Linked DNA regions of Sus scrofa. The protein of the gene in region 1 purifies or fractionates together with the protein of each later gene. This does not show direct contact. Links are inferred from orthologs where the notes say so. Each region holds a gene or a part of one and is shown in the gene's direction. Other genes may lie near its edges.

What was found. The genes of interacting proteins can lie anywhere in the genome.
Region 2: the proteins of TP53RK (region 1) and OSGEP purify together in Homo sapiens (affinity purification with mass spectrometry; 5 studies listed by BioGRID and IntAct, counting the BioPlex papers as one, with this or other methods). This does not show direct contact. The link is inferred for Sus scrofa from reciprocal best matches to the Homo sapiens genes TP53RK and OSGEP.
Region 3: the proteins of TP53RK (region 1) and GON7 purify together in Homo sapiens (affinity purification with mass spectrometry; 5 studies listed by BioGRID and IntAct, counting the BioPlex papers as one, with this or other methods). This does not show direct contact. The link is inferred for Sus scrofa from reciprocal best matches to the Homo sapiens genes TP53RK and GON7.

Annotation. Positions count from the first base shown.
Region 1 is NC_010459.5:48,814,935-48,819,566, reverse strand, and holds the start of TP53RK (TP53-regulating kinase), read left to right. Parts: upstream 1-1,582; 5' UTR 1,583-1,761; coding exon 1,762-2,050; intron 2,051-3,864; coding exon 3,865-4,343; 3' UTR 4,344-4,632.
Region 2 is NC_010449.5:78,453,229-78,457,470, forward strand, and holds the start of OSGEP (probable tRNA N6-adenosine threonylcarbamoyltransferase), read left to right. Parts: upstream 1-1,442; 5' UTR 1,443-1,622; coding exon 1,623-1,737; intron 1,738-3,688; coding exon 3,689-3,808; intron 3,809-4,002; coding exon 4,003-4,178; intron 4,179-4,242. Other genes in the region: APEX1 (DNA-(apurinic or apyrimidinic site) lyase), read right to left, coding at 196-383, 584-641. UniProt on the Homo sapiens protein: Component of the EKC/KEOPS complex that is required for the formation of a threonylcarbamoyl group on adenosine at position 37 (t(6)A37) in tRNAs that read codons beginning with adenine.
Region 3 is NC_010449.5:114,588,005-114,592,051, reverse strand, and holds the start of GON7 (uncharacterized protein C14orf142 homolog), read left to right. Parts: upstream 1-1,247; 5' UTR 1,248-1,300; coding exon 1,301-1,508; intron 1,509-4,047. Other genes in the region: putative E3 ubiquitin-protein ligase UBR7, read right to left, coding at 897-1,046. UniProt on the Homo sapiens protein: Component of the EKC/KEOPS complex that is required for the formation of a threonylcarbamoyl group on adenosine at position 37 (t(6)A37) in tRNAs that read codons beginning with adenine.

The DNA of each region.
Region 1 (4,632 bases):
CCAGGGATCGAAACTGCATCCTCACGGATACTGCTGAGCTACAACGGGAACTCCTATTGGGACAATTTTATAGTTAACCTAGGGTAGAGGGGTACATGCTTGGAAACAGGAAGGGCCTTCTTAAGTCAGGATGTATGAATGGGTAACTAGTCTTGTAGGAGCCAGGAGTACATCAGCAAAGGTCTTCATCGTTGTTTGGGAGGCTAAGAGAGCATACAGGCTACCTGGACCTAAAGTTCATTAAACAGTATTAACTACCAAGCCCTTGATGTTAGAGAAGAGATTTACTACACAGAACAGTCATAGGTAGAGTCAGTGGAAGGACAGGAGAAACTATACACACCCAAGATGCTGTCAGTTATGCTAACAGCCATAGAGAGGGGTTCAGACAGATTTGGTAACCATGGAGATGACCATGTGGACACTAACAATTATGATAATGAAAGTACCAACTCGGGAAACTGAGCGCTATAAATAGAATTGGTTCTGGGTGAACTTCAAGTAGGCTGGGCTGATGAAAGATGCTGGAAACCACATTATGCCAACATAAAGGATCTAATGTTTGAAAAGGTGACCTGCCCTGTGTATGAATGAAACTTGCAGGGACTGCGGCTGAGGGTTGGTGTCATAGCAACCCTCAGACCAAAGAGCCTTTCTTCAGTATTTCAAACAAGGTCTCCATGGTGAGGGAGGGAAAATGAACACATCAAGAGTGTATGCAATCCACCAGGAACTCTGATGAACAAGATCTTATTTAATATTAATAGGCAATTGCTAAAGTAAAAGTAATGATCTTCGTCCTGAAGATGATGAATCTGAAACTCAGAGAAATAGTGTTTGTTGCTCCATCCCACAGTGCGGCAGGCACTTCAGGCTGCCTTCCATTTGTGTGAGTGTGCACATATATAAAAAAAAAAAAAACATGGAAAAAAACTTTATACAGTGGTTGGTGGTGGGGCAGACTGGTGACAGGAATAGGCATTCTTTAATTTTTCATGCATGCAAAATTGTGTATCATATGAATTTGTTACAGCAATTAAAGCAAAGGGTAAAAATTTGTTTGCTAAGCACTCCCAGTCAGCTTGGTTTGTCTCCTTTGGAAAACTCGACAACCTCATATGCCCGCCACCTTCTCTGACTCTGAATCTTTTTCTCCTGTAAAATGGGCTTTCATCATTTAATCTTATTCCCCCAGAATGCACTCAATAATTCGTAGCTATTATTATCTTAGCGCTAAAGACATGGGCCACGTGGTTTACTGCCCACCTGCCACACCTAATTCTGATTAGTTTAAGCCCCCTTTGGGGGGAATCAGGAGCTCGGGGACGAGGAGTTCCAAAAAGAGAACTCTTGTGGGTTTAGTTCCCTTGGAACCAGAGACTCCCTAGGCAAGCAAGTTCCCAAAGAGTTTTCCGCGAGAGGCGCCGAAAGTTTCCGGAAATAGCCGAAGGTCTGGGAGGCGGGGCCACAATAGCCGCCAGCTAGAGTCGCCAAAGGCTTCCGGAAACAGCCGAGGAGTGGGAAGACTGGTTTACCGAGAGTTGCCGAGAGTTTACGGAGGTAGCCGGAAGATCCGGGAGGCGGGGCCACGAGGCTTAGAAAAGAGCCGAAAGCTTGAGGGGCGGAACCACTTCCACAAGGCGGAAGTGTCGGCGTTCGGGTGGCGGAAGAGGTCCGAGGATTTCCAGAAAGAGCCGAAGCAGCTCCGACAGTTCCCGGAGAGAGACGAGGGGTTCCGAGCGGCGGCGCGGGGACGCAAACATGGCGGCGGCCGGCGCTGCTGTTCCTGCTGCCGAACCGAATGAGGAACCCGCGCCCGCGACGGAAGCGGTGGCCGCGGCCCGGGAGCGGAGCAGTCTCTTCTTGAGGGGCCTGGAGCTGGTGAAGCAGGGTGCCGAGGCGCGCGTGTTCCGCGGCCGCTTCCAAGGCCGCGCGGCCGTGGTGAAGCACCGCTTCCCCAAGGGCTACCGGCACCCGGCGCTGGAGGCGCGGCTCGGCCGGCGACGGACGGTGCAGGAGGCCCGGGCGCTGCTCCGCTGCCGCCGCGCAGGTGAGGCGGCCCGACTCGCGGTCGTGGAGGACCCCGAGGCTCCGCGGTCCGGGCAACGCGGGTGAGGGGGCTCCCCTGCTCTGCAGACCGCGATTTGCCTCAATTTCTCCGTTTGTACCTTCTGCGTGGCCTTCCGTTAAAAAAATGTCATCCTTTCATCCTTCTTTTCATTCATTAATTTTTAAGAAGTCACTTGACCTTGCAGCGACTAGCATTTGCCTCGGAGCCATTGGTGGCAGGTTCACTTCCCGGCTATCCCACTCCTGCTCAAAGTTGAGCATGTCATTTAACTGCCCTGAGCCTTGGTTTTCCCATTTGTACCGTCTCAGCTTTCGAGCATCATCTTTTTATTCATTACTTTTAAGAAGTCTGAATTTAAATACTGCGCTGCTTCATATGTAGTCTTTCAGCAAAGTTATATAACCTCTGCCTCAGTTTCCTCACCTACAAAGGGAAGTCACAGTAGCAGTATTCATCTCATAGGGATGTCGTGACCATTAGACGAGATTATATACGTCGTTTTTTATGTTTGGACGTATGACTGAATCTTAGCGCTCAAACATTAGATTTCATTCAGTTGTTTATTTTTTCATTAAAACACTGCCGAGCACCACCACCAAAAACCTTTCCTCAAATGAGAACGGCAGGCTCAGAGAGAAGTAATTTGCCCAAGGGTACACAGGTAATTAGTGACCCAGCCAGGCTCTCAGGCCCAGAAACACTGGCTTTTCACTTTTGCATTTCCTCCCTTTCTTTCACTGGTATTTTTTAGGCATATACTGTACCCCCAAGACATTGTTAGGTGCTGGGAGATCTGGAGGAAATTCAGTAGCAAATGCATCTCTGGACATGCTTGGACTTAACAAAGTGATTCGTGTGTTCATATTTTCTATTTTCACCCTTTCCAGGATCTAAGTTCTTTTAAGCAAGGGTGGTGGCTATTGCTGCCTGCTGTGTCCCTACTGATTTACCTCCAGTATCTAGAAGTGTCTTACGCATGCTTGACATTCAGTAGAGATTCACTGAATCTTCAGATTCAATGACGTCATTGAATTGTTGGAAGTATTGTTGTTATTGAAGCAGAAATGGAGGCGTAGAGAAATTAATGTGACTTTCCCTCATAAGGAAGGGAGCTGGGATTTGAACTTGTCCTTCCTATCTATGAAGATGAATCTGAAAGCCAACATGCTGCTCGGCCTCCTGCTCCTGTCCTTGTCGGATAGAAACTGCTTTGACTGGGCTGTGCTTACCCTTCTGGCTCTTTGTTTTGTATTTTAGGGAGTAAGCATTACAAATGAAGTCCAGTCATAAAGGGTGGAAGGGGAATTCCTGTTGTGGCACAGTGGAAACAAATCTGACTAGTATCCTTGAGGATGTGGGTTTGATTCCTGGCCTTGCTCAGTGGGTTAAGGATCTGGCTTAGACACAAGCTGTGGTATAGGTCAAAGACAGCTCAGATCTGGTGTTGCTGTGGCTGTGGTGTAGGCCAGCAGCTGCAGCTCTGATTCAGCCCCTAGCCTGGGAACCTCCATGTGCCATAGGTGTGGGCCTTAAAATTAAAAAAAAAAAAAAGCATAAAAATAAATGGTAGAAGGGAGGAGGTAGCTTTGGCACTGCTGACCCTTGCTGTGGGGAGGTCTAAACACAGTCCTGCAGGGGCAACTTCTGGAGGAGTTAAGCTGCACCATTCTACAGTATTCCTAAATCTTTTTCCCAAAACACACAGATATACACTGTGAAAAACTGGCTCAGTTTGAACATTAGGCTTACTATTAAAAAAAAAAAAAAGAATCTAACCCGTGTCTTGGTTGCAGGGATATGTGCCCCGGTTGTCTTTTTTGTGGACTATGCTTCCAACTGTTTATTCATGGAAGAAATTGAAGGCTCAGTGACTGTTCGAGATTATATAGAATCCACTATGGAGACTGAAAACTCTCCCCAGAGTCTCCTCGGCTTAGCCAAGAAAATCGGGCAGGTTTTGGCTCGCATGCACGACGAAGACCTCATTCACGGTGATCTCACCACGTCCAACATGCTCCTGAAACCCCCGCTGGAAGAACTGAACATCGTGCTCATAGACTTTGGGCTGAGTTTCATTTCAGCACTTCCAGAAGATAAGGGAGTGGACCTGTACGTGCTAGAGAAAGCCTTCCTCAGTACCCATCCCAACACCGAGACTGTATTTGAAGCCTTTCTAAAGAGCTATGCCGCCGCCTCCAAAAAGGCCAGGCCAGTGCTAAAAAAATTAGATGAGGTGCGCCTGCGAGGGAGAAAGAGGTCCATGGTTGGGTAGAAGAACGTGCGTGACGACCACAGACAGTTCAGCCACTCACCTCACAGTAAATTTGAAGGAATGCTATGAATATGGGATTCGACCTAAATAAAGGTGGTGAGGTATTTTAAGTGCTGTCTGTGATCCCGCTTGTCGAGTGGTGTTATCCACTGTTGACTGTTGTCAAGAGCTTGCTGTGTCCCTAAGACACGTTCTGGCAGAACTGGGTATTCAGACTACCCCTCAGACAGGCTTTCTCTGCAATTGTGACGTGTGTACCTCAGATCCAAGGGCGGCGTTACCAAACATT
Region 2 (4,242 bases), on another chromosome or scaffold:
ACATTAAACAAGACAATGACAGTAGAACTGTCCTAATGACATTTAAGAAATACAAGTGGTATGACTTGGTGAAAACCTTGTACCTCTCCCATAAGAAAACTACCGACAGAATTAAACCTAAGTGCTGGGGACAGAAATAGGAGAAGGTAATTAAACCCCAAGATCGGTTTCTACCCTTCCCTTCATTCCACTTACATCTAAACCTTTTTTCTTAATCCAAGCTCGAAGCCCATCCACATTCCAGGAGCAGATTTTGAGTGTGGCTGATTTGCCACTGGGTGAGGTTTTCTGATCTGGGGGGTCCTCATACAGGACTGCCCCATCACCTGCTGCCTCTTTTTCGGTTTTCTTTGCTCCCGCCTTACTCTTCTTGGCTTCTGGCTCTATAAAATAAGATAAACGTTGGCGGTATTTTAACTTTGATCCGGAGCTAAATATACAGTTACTGAGAACCTGCAGTTGCCGCGACTTCTTCACAAACTGCAAAAATGAATCAAATGGTCTGTACTTCCCGCTCATCAAGGGAATTACGGAGATCTCCACCGCCGCTTAAACGGAGAGGGGGCCCATTTCACTCTCTTACCAGACTTGGGCTCATCCCCATCTTCTGCCACCGCGGCTTTTTTCCCACGTTTCGGCATCACTGTAATAAACGCCCTTCTGTAGCAGTTCCACGTCGCCCACCGAAGCAGTGTTTCTACCGCGTTGCCTACAGACGCAAAAAAGTCGTGAAACCTGCTAGGGCTGGGGAAAGACTCCTCTCTAGAGCGCCCCCGCACCAGGTCCCGCCCTTCAAACCACGTTATCTCCGAATTCTTTCCCCGCCTCCATGCACTGTCCGCCTTTCGGACCCTCACCCTCAAGACTAGATCATTTCATACTGCCTTGTACCCTCCTCACGATATTGGGCCTCAGGACAATCCAGGGACTTAATTAAAAATCCTGACTCAGGCTTGCCGATCAGACGTCCAGAGAAGCCCCTATGATGGGTAAAAGAAGAGCACCTCTGTAACTGACCTGCTTGAGTCTAGTCAAGCTCCTCCTCACCCCAGCACAAAGAATGGAACACGCTGTGTCCCCACGTGGTAACTGGTGTGGTCACGTGATCTGAGATGCGTGTCTGGAGGCGAAGGAAGGCGGATGATTGGTCTGTTAGTGCCACGTGGCCGAAAGCTCAGCCTTGCCTCAGTTCTCTGTGTCTCCAGGGCACTGAGGGCCCCAGCTCTCCGTTCTCGGGCTGTTTATCGATGTGCCAGATTCTTGACTCCTACTGCCGCCCCGACCGGAGATCCCAAAGCTGTGCAGGAGGGAACAAAATCAGTGGAGAAGGCTGGGTTGGACCATGGGAGAGAGGCAGAGAAGCAGAAAGGAATTTAACGAGCAGATGCCGGCTCAAGGTCCCTGGCAATTAAGAGAACAGGCCCTCGAGGGGACCTTGATGCGAGGGGAGGGCCCGCGCGCTAAACGCGGGACTTGTTTGGTGTCCTGGTGCGCGGTTGGTAGCCGCGAACTCGTTTTCTTCCTTTGAGACCTGGCTTCTGCATTCCAGCGCGGATTGGTGAAGGCTCTACGGCTCCAGTAGTAGCTAGGGGCCCTGCCGGCGTTTCCTCCCAGGCTCGGCCATGCCGGCGGTGTTGGGTTTTGAAGGCAGCGCCAACAAGATTGGCGTGGGAGTGGTGCGGGATGGCACCGTGCTGGCGAACCCTCGGCGCACTTACGTCACGCCTCCGGGTACAGGTACGCTAGTAGGAAACTTGTCATTTGCGGCGAGCTTCTCCGTCACCGTCCATCTTCCTGAACGTTAGTGAAGCAGGGCGTGGAGCGCATTGTCCCCTCAATTTTTGATCCGACTCTGAGATTGTGTGACAGTATTAGCATTACAAGGCTGATGGTTTGAGGAGTCACAGACACTTGGATCTGGATCTTCTGAGTTCGTTCAGCCTTTATTGAGCTCCTTTTATGTGTCAGTTGTAAACTGGCTGCTGAATACAAAAATAGATGTATAATCCTGCTGTGGAGCTGGACATAAAAGCAGAACTTACACTACGGTGTTATAAACAGTATAACGTAGATGCAATCAAAATATTCTAGAATGAGAAATAATGTAAAGATTCCCAGCTTAAGTACCAGAACTGGCTTGCTTTTCAATATTCAGTCTTTGGTTTTGGACTTCTTTTCCTTATTCTTAAAAGGGAATGATAATATGTTTCTTTGTGTACTTGAGAATTAAAACACCAGACACATTACCACTTTTAACTTTTTTTTTTTTTTTTTTTTTTTGGTCTTTTTGCTATTTCTTGGGCCGCTTCCAAGGCATATGGAGGTTCCCAGGCTAGGGGTCGAATCGGAGCTGTAGCCACCGGCCTATGCCAGAGCCACAGCAACGTGGGATCCGAGCCGCGTCTGCAACCTACACCACAGCTCACTGCAACGCCGGATCGTTAACCCACTGAGCAAGGGCAGGGACCAAACCCACAACCTCATGGTTCCTAGTGGGATTCTTAACCACTGAGCCAGGATGGGAACTCCCCATTACCACTTTTAGAAATGTTATTTGTAAGTTATGTTGTGTCTTGCATAACCTCCCCCCAAACACCTGCATACATGGGAGGTTTGCATATACCGGAAAAGTCTCTCTGAAAGTCGGGTGATGTTGTGACAGATTACTCATTTGAAATATATATGTATGTTTTTGTTTGTTTTTTGTTTTTTGGTCTTTTCTAGGGCCGCTTCCTGCAGCATATGGAAGTTCCCAGGCTAGGGGTCCAATTGGAGCTGCATCCACCGGCCTATGCCAGAGCTACAGCAATGCAGGATCCAAGCCACGTCTGCGACCTACACCACAGCTCACAGCAACACCGGATCCTTAACCCACTCAGCAAGGCCAGGGATCAAACCCAAAACCTCATGGTTCCTAGTCAGATTGTTAACCACTGCGCCACGGTGGGAACTCCAAATATATACGTGTGTTTAACACTCACTCTTCTAGACATTTTGGCACCAAGTGTACAAAAATAAAGTAGCTAGTGCTTTGAGATAATTGTGGTTAAACTGGGAAAATTACAAATAATAGTAATGCTGTGATTACTGTGTTACATGTAGTGTGTTAATACAGTGATGTGATCATGCACAGGCTTGTAGGGTCACAAGATCACCAAAACATATGAGGTAGGCATCACTTGAATTGAGTACTAAAGGCTAAGTAGGAGTTGGGTATGAAGGAGGGCATTTCTGAGAGCTGTAAGTCTAGCTGAACAGGCTGGAAAAACTATCTGAAAACATAGAAGACAGGATGCTTGAGGAAAGTGAAAGGGACTCTTCCTACCCTACTAAAATGTCTGTTTTTTTCTTTTTTTTTTTTTTTTTTTTTGCTATTTCTTTGGGGCCGCTCCCACGGCATATGGAGGTTCCCAGGCTAGGGGTCTAATCGGAGCTGTAGCCACTAGCCTACACCAGAGCCACAGCAACACAGGATCCGAGCCACGTCTGCAGTCTACACCACAGCTCACGGCAATGCCGGATCGTTAACACACTGAGCAAGGGCAGGGACCGAACCCGCAACCTCATGGTTCCTAGTCGGATTCGTTAACCACTGCGCCACGACGGGAACTCCAAATGTCTGTTTTTGACTTCTACCTACCTTTCTGTAGAAGGACCCCATGATTTCTGACTTATGTCCATCTTCTAGGATTCCTTCCAGGTGATACTGCCAGGCACCACAGAGCTGTTATCCTGGACCTGCTGCAGGAGGCACTAACAGAGGCTGGATTAACTTCACAAGATATTGATTGCATTGCGTATACTAAAGGTATGGCCGGGAGAGTGGTCAACAAAAGAAGGATATACCTGGAACCTAGCATGGTCAAAATAGGCTGCAGCCTCTATTACTGCCACCATCTCTGCTACTGCCACCACCCCACCCCACCTCTCACACCTCCTTTTCTCCCAGTTCTGTTTATCCCGATCCCTATTGGATTCTAACTCCCATTTTTATCTCCCTAGGTCCTGGTATGGGTGCCCCATTGGTTTCTGTGGCTGTTGTGGCGCGTACTATTGCCCAGTTGTGGAATAAGCCATTGGTGGGTGTTAACCATTGCATAGGCCACATTGAGATGGGCCGCCTCATCACTGGAGCCACCAGCCCAACTGTGCTGTATGTCAGTGGAGGAAATACACAGGTATTTAGAGTACTTCATTATTCCTTCTTTTTTTTTTTCTTTAGAGATTTTTGGTTATTTTTAA
Region 3 (4,047 bases), on another chromosome or scaffold:
CATTCTGCAGTGTAAATTCAACTGGTCAATGATGACAACTGGTATTATGATCTCAGTCCACACCACACAATGACCCTAAGTCTCTCTCCTCACCCTCCAACGTTCCACTCCACACGCCCCCCGCCAAGGAACCTTCCTCCTACCAATTCTCACCTCTTATTAGTTTTCTTCTACCCACCTTTCTCCATTTTTGTACCTAGAATATAGGATGAGTCACCCAACACTACATCACACCCCCTCAAAGCCTTGTTCACAACATCTTCCAAGTGCTCGCTCTCCTCCCCTACCCCCACCCCTTCGCCAGAGCCACCAGCTGTTCGGGTTCCGGTCTATCCTCCTGGGTAGCAGACTGCACAGAGACATGGTACTTGCTTCCTCTCGCCAAAAAACCAGATAGCACTTGTCAAACTAAATTGCAGAGGACCAGCTGTCCAAGTGCCCAGCCCACATGGGGAGATTTTCAGATCCAGAGATCTCTCCTTTATCTCTGCTTTGACTCCCACCTGGTTCCTAATAAATACTAAGGATGGGAAAATTAGGGACAAAGATGTCTGGATTTGAGAGGACACGAGGATGGTTTCGTGAAAAACACCCGGGGCACCGAGAAGAGACGGGAGAGGAAGGAAAGGCTGCTCCAGGGTCAAAGCCTAGAGATCCTGGGGGGTCGGAGGAAAACCGAGGGACGAAGGGGGCCCTGCCGGACACAAGCAGAGGAAGGGGGCTCACGAGACTAAGGGTAAAAGGGCGGCTGAGCCTGGGATGAGGAAGCCTATGACAAACAGTGACCCCGGACTACCACGGAGGTGCCGGCCTCGGCAGGCGGGAAGAGGGAAGGTAAGTCCGGGAAGAGAAGGTCCAGGGGAGCCGGGGGAGGTAAGGCCCGGCCGCGCGCCCACCTGCGAGTAGGAGCACTTCTCGGAGTCGCTGCCGCCTAGTACGGCGCACGCCTCATTCTCCAGCTCCTCGTCCTCCTCAAGTACATCGACCAACGATACCACGGGCTCCAGCTCCGACTGCCGCCCCGCGGTCCCCTCGGCTCCAGCCATCCTCAACTGTCACCCGGACCGCCGCTCAGCCCCGGCGGAGGCGGGAAAAGCGGGCGCGAGGGGCGGGGCCGTAGGAGGCGGGGCCTGGGTGCCTGGAACCAATCCCAAAGACGCCGAGAGAAGGAAGGGGGAGGAGCGACTTCCGACAAACGGAAGTCACTCCTCTTCCTTCTCCCGCCTGCGCCCGCGCTTGGCTGGTTTCCGCTTCCGGGTGGCGTATCCCTGTGGCGCGTTCTTGAAGCTCAGCGGTCGCCATGGAGCTGTTGGGCGAGTATGTCGGGCAGGACGGGCAGCGGCAGCGGCTACGAGTGCCCTGTGAGGCGCCAGGCAATGCCGACCATTTCCAGGGCTTGCTGTCGGGCGTGGCTCGGATGAAGGAGCTGGTGGCCGAGCTCTTCGGTTCCCCGGTACAGGGGGAAGCTCAGGACCGGGTGGCGGCGGCTCCAGAAGAGGCCTTGGACGGTGAGCTCTGGGATGGTGCTGGAGCGACTGGAGGGAGGGCAGGGGCGCCCCGGGAAAAATCTCAGGGAGCCCGTGTAAAACAGCAGACTGGAGAAAACTGGAGGAAGAAGGATTCCTACTAAAAATTGTTAGCACCTTCCGCCAACTCTAGGCCTAACCTGGGCTCACCTAGCAGGGCTGTTTTCACGACTCTTTTCATTTATATCACACACACACACACACACATACACGCACACACAAAACCAAAGAAAAGCGGGCCGAACCCCTGCTGCTCTGTGCCAATCATTGGACTGAGCTCTGAAGAAAGAATGAGGGTGAATGCGGCTTAGTTCCTGTCGTTGCGGAATTTTGATGAGTGATTAAACAAGTAAACGCTCTCATTAAAGAGTGGAAAGATGACCCTAGGATCCTCCTATAACTATTCGAACCTAGAGAACCCAGGAAGACCTAATAGTGGGCATGTCTGGCTTTTAAGCTGGGTGTTGAAGGATGAAAAGGAATTCTCCCAGCTGTGAAATTACGTTTGGAAGACTGCGGTCCATCGCAGAATAGGAGCGGGTTCCTAAGATTGGAAGAGATTTCAGATAAACAGGTGTTTACTCTCAGGGACTCCTTTCCTTTCCCGGTTTTGTAGGTGCAGTTTGAAAGTGGAAACGGGAAATTTAACTGGTTTAGTTTTTGGGGGGTTTTTTGTTTTAAGTCTTGTCTTGAATAGGTAGATACATTTTGACTGCCTTAAGCTTAAGAACCTAAGCATTAAATATTGGAATCAGGACTTAACTCCTCTGTACAGGCTCTTAAACTAATAATGTGAAGGAACCAATTCAGAATATTACACAAACTTCAGACAATGGATTGTTTCCGTGAGAGTGAAGTCCTGTTTCTTGACTCCAAAAGTTCCTCTTTAATCAGTTGCAAATTTTATCGTTGGAATAAGGACAGGTATAGGTAGAGCCATTGAAAAAAAAAAAGTGGGAGTTCTCATCATGGCTCAGTGGAAAGGAATCTGACTGATATTCATGAGGACGCAGGTTACATCCCTGGCCTCCTCAGTGGGTTAAGGATCCGGAGTTGCTCTGAGCTATGGTGTAGGTTGCAGACATGACTCAGATCTGGCATTGCTGTATTGCTGTGGTGTAGGCCAGTGGCTATAGTTCCAATTCAACACCTAGCCCAGGAACCTCCATATGCCTCAGGTGCGGCCCTAAAAAGACCAAAAAAAAAAAAAAAAAAAAAAAAAAAATGGAGTTTATCTTTATTTTGGATGAATTCTTTCTTTCTTTTTTTTTTTTTTACGGCCACATCTGCAGCATAGGGAGGTTCCCAGACTAGGGCTCAGAATGGAGCTACAGTTGCCAGCCTACGCTACAGCAACTCCGGATCGGAGCCATATCTGCAACCCACACCACAGCTCACAGCAACACTGGCTTCCCAACCCACTGAGTGAGGCCAGGGATCAAACCCACATTCTCATGGATATTAGTCGGATTCTTTTCTGCTGCACTGCACTGGGAACCCCCAGTGTATGAATAATATCTTAATTAGCAATGCAAAATTTTCAGAAATAACAATTATGAAAGAAAAGTGGTAGAATGCAACACTAAAAAGGCAAATAGTGATCATTTTGTAACGTCTAGAAATATCGGGGCACTGTGTGGTACACTTGGAACTAACAGTGTACTTCAATGGAAAAAAAAATCCTCATGTTGACGAAAAAAGACAGTCAGTTACCAAATGTGCAGAAGACTTGAATAGACAGTTCTCCAAATAAGATATACAAATGGCAAATAAGCACATGAAAAGACGCTCAACGTCATTGGCTTTCAAGGAAAGGCAAATCAAATCACAATGAGATTCCATGTCATGTCCACTAGGAAGGCTGTAATCAGAAAGAACACTAACAGATGTTAGCTAGGATATGAAGAAATTAGAGCCCTCATGTGTTGCTGGTGGAAATGCAAAATAGTGTACCTTCTTTGGAAAGCCGTTTGAAGTTAAAGTTATCATATGATCCAGCAATTCTAGGGATTCTTAATTCCATCCCTAGTTCTCCAAGAGAACTGGAAACATGTTCCCATAAAAAACAAATGCACAAATGTTCATAAGCAGCATTATTCATAATAACTAAAAAGTGGAAATAAGACAAATTACAGCAGATATTGTCAGAACATTGTAAATCAACTATACTTTGATGAAAAATTTTAAAAAACACACAAATGTCCATCTACTCGAGTGGAGAAACAATATGTATATCCATACAATGGAATATTATTTAGCAACAAAAAGGAGTGAAGTACTGATAAATGTTACACTTCATGAATGACCTTTGAAAACATGGTAAGTGAAAGCAGACAGACACAAAAAGGCATGTATTTTGCGATTCATTTACATTAAATGTTAAGAATAGGCAAATCTGGAGTTCCCGTCGTGGCGCAGTGGTTAACGAATCCGACTAGGAACCATGAGGTTGCGGGTTCGATCCCTGCCCTTGATCAGTGGGTTAACGATCCGGCGTTGCCGTGAGCTGTGGTGTAGGTTG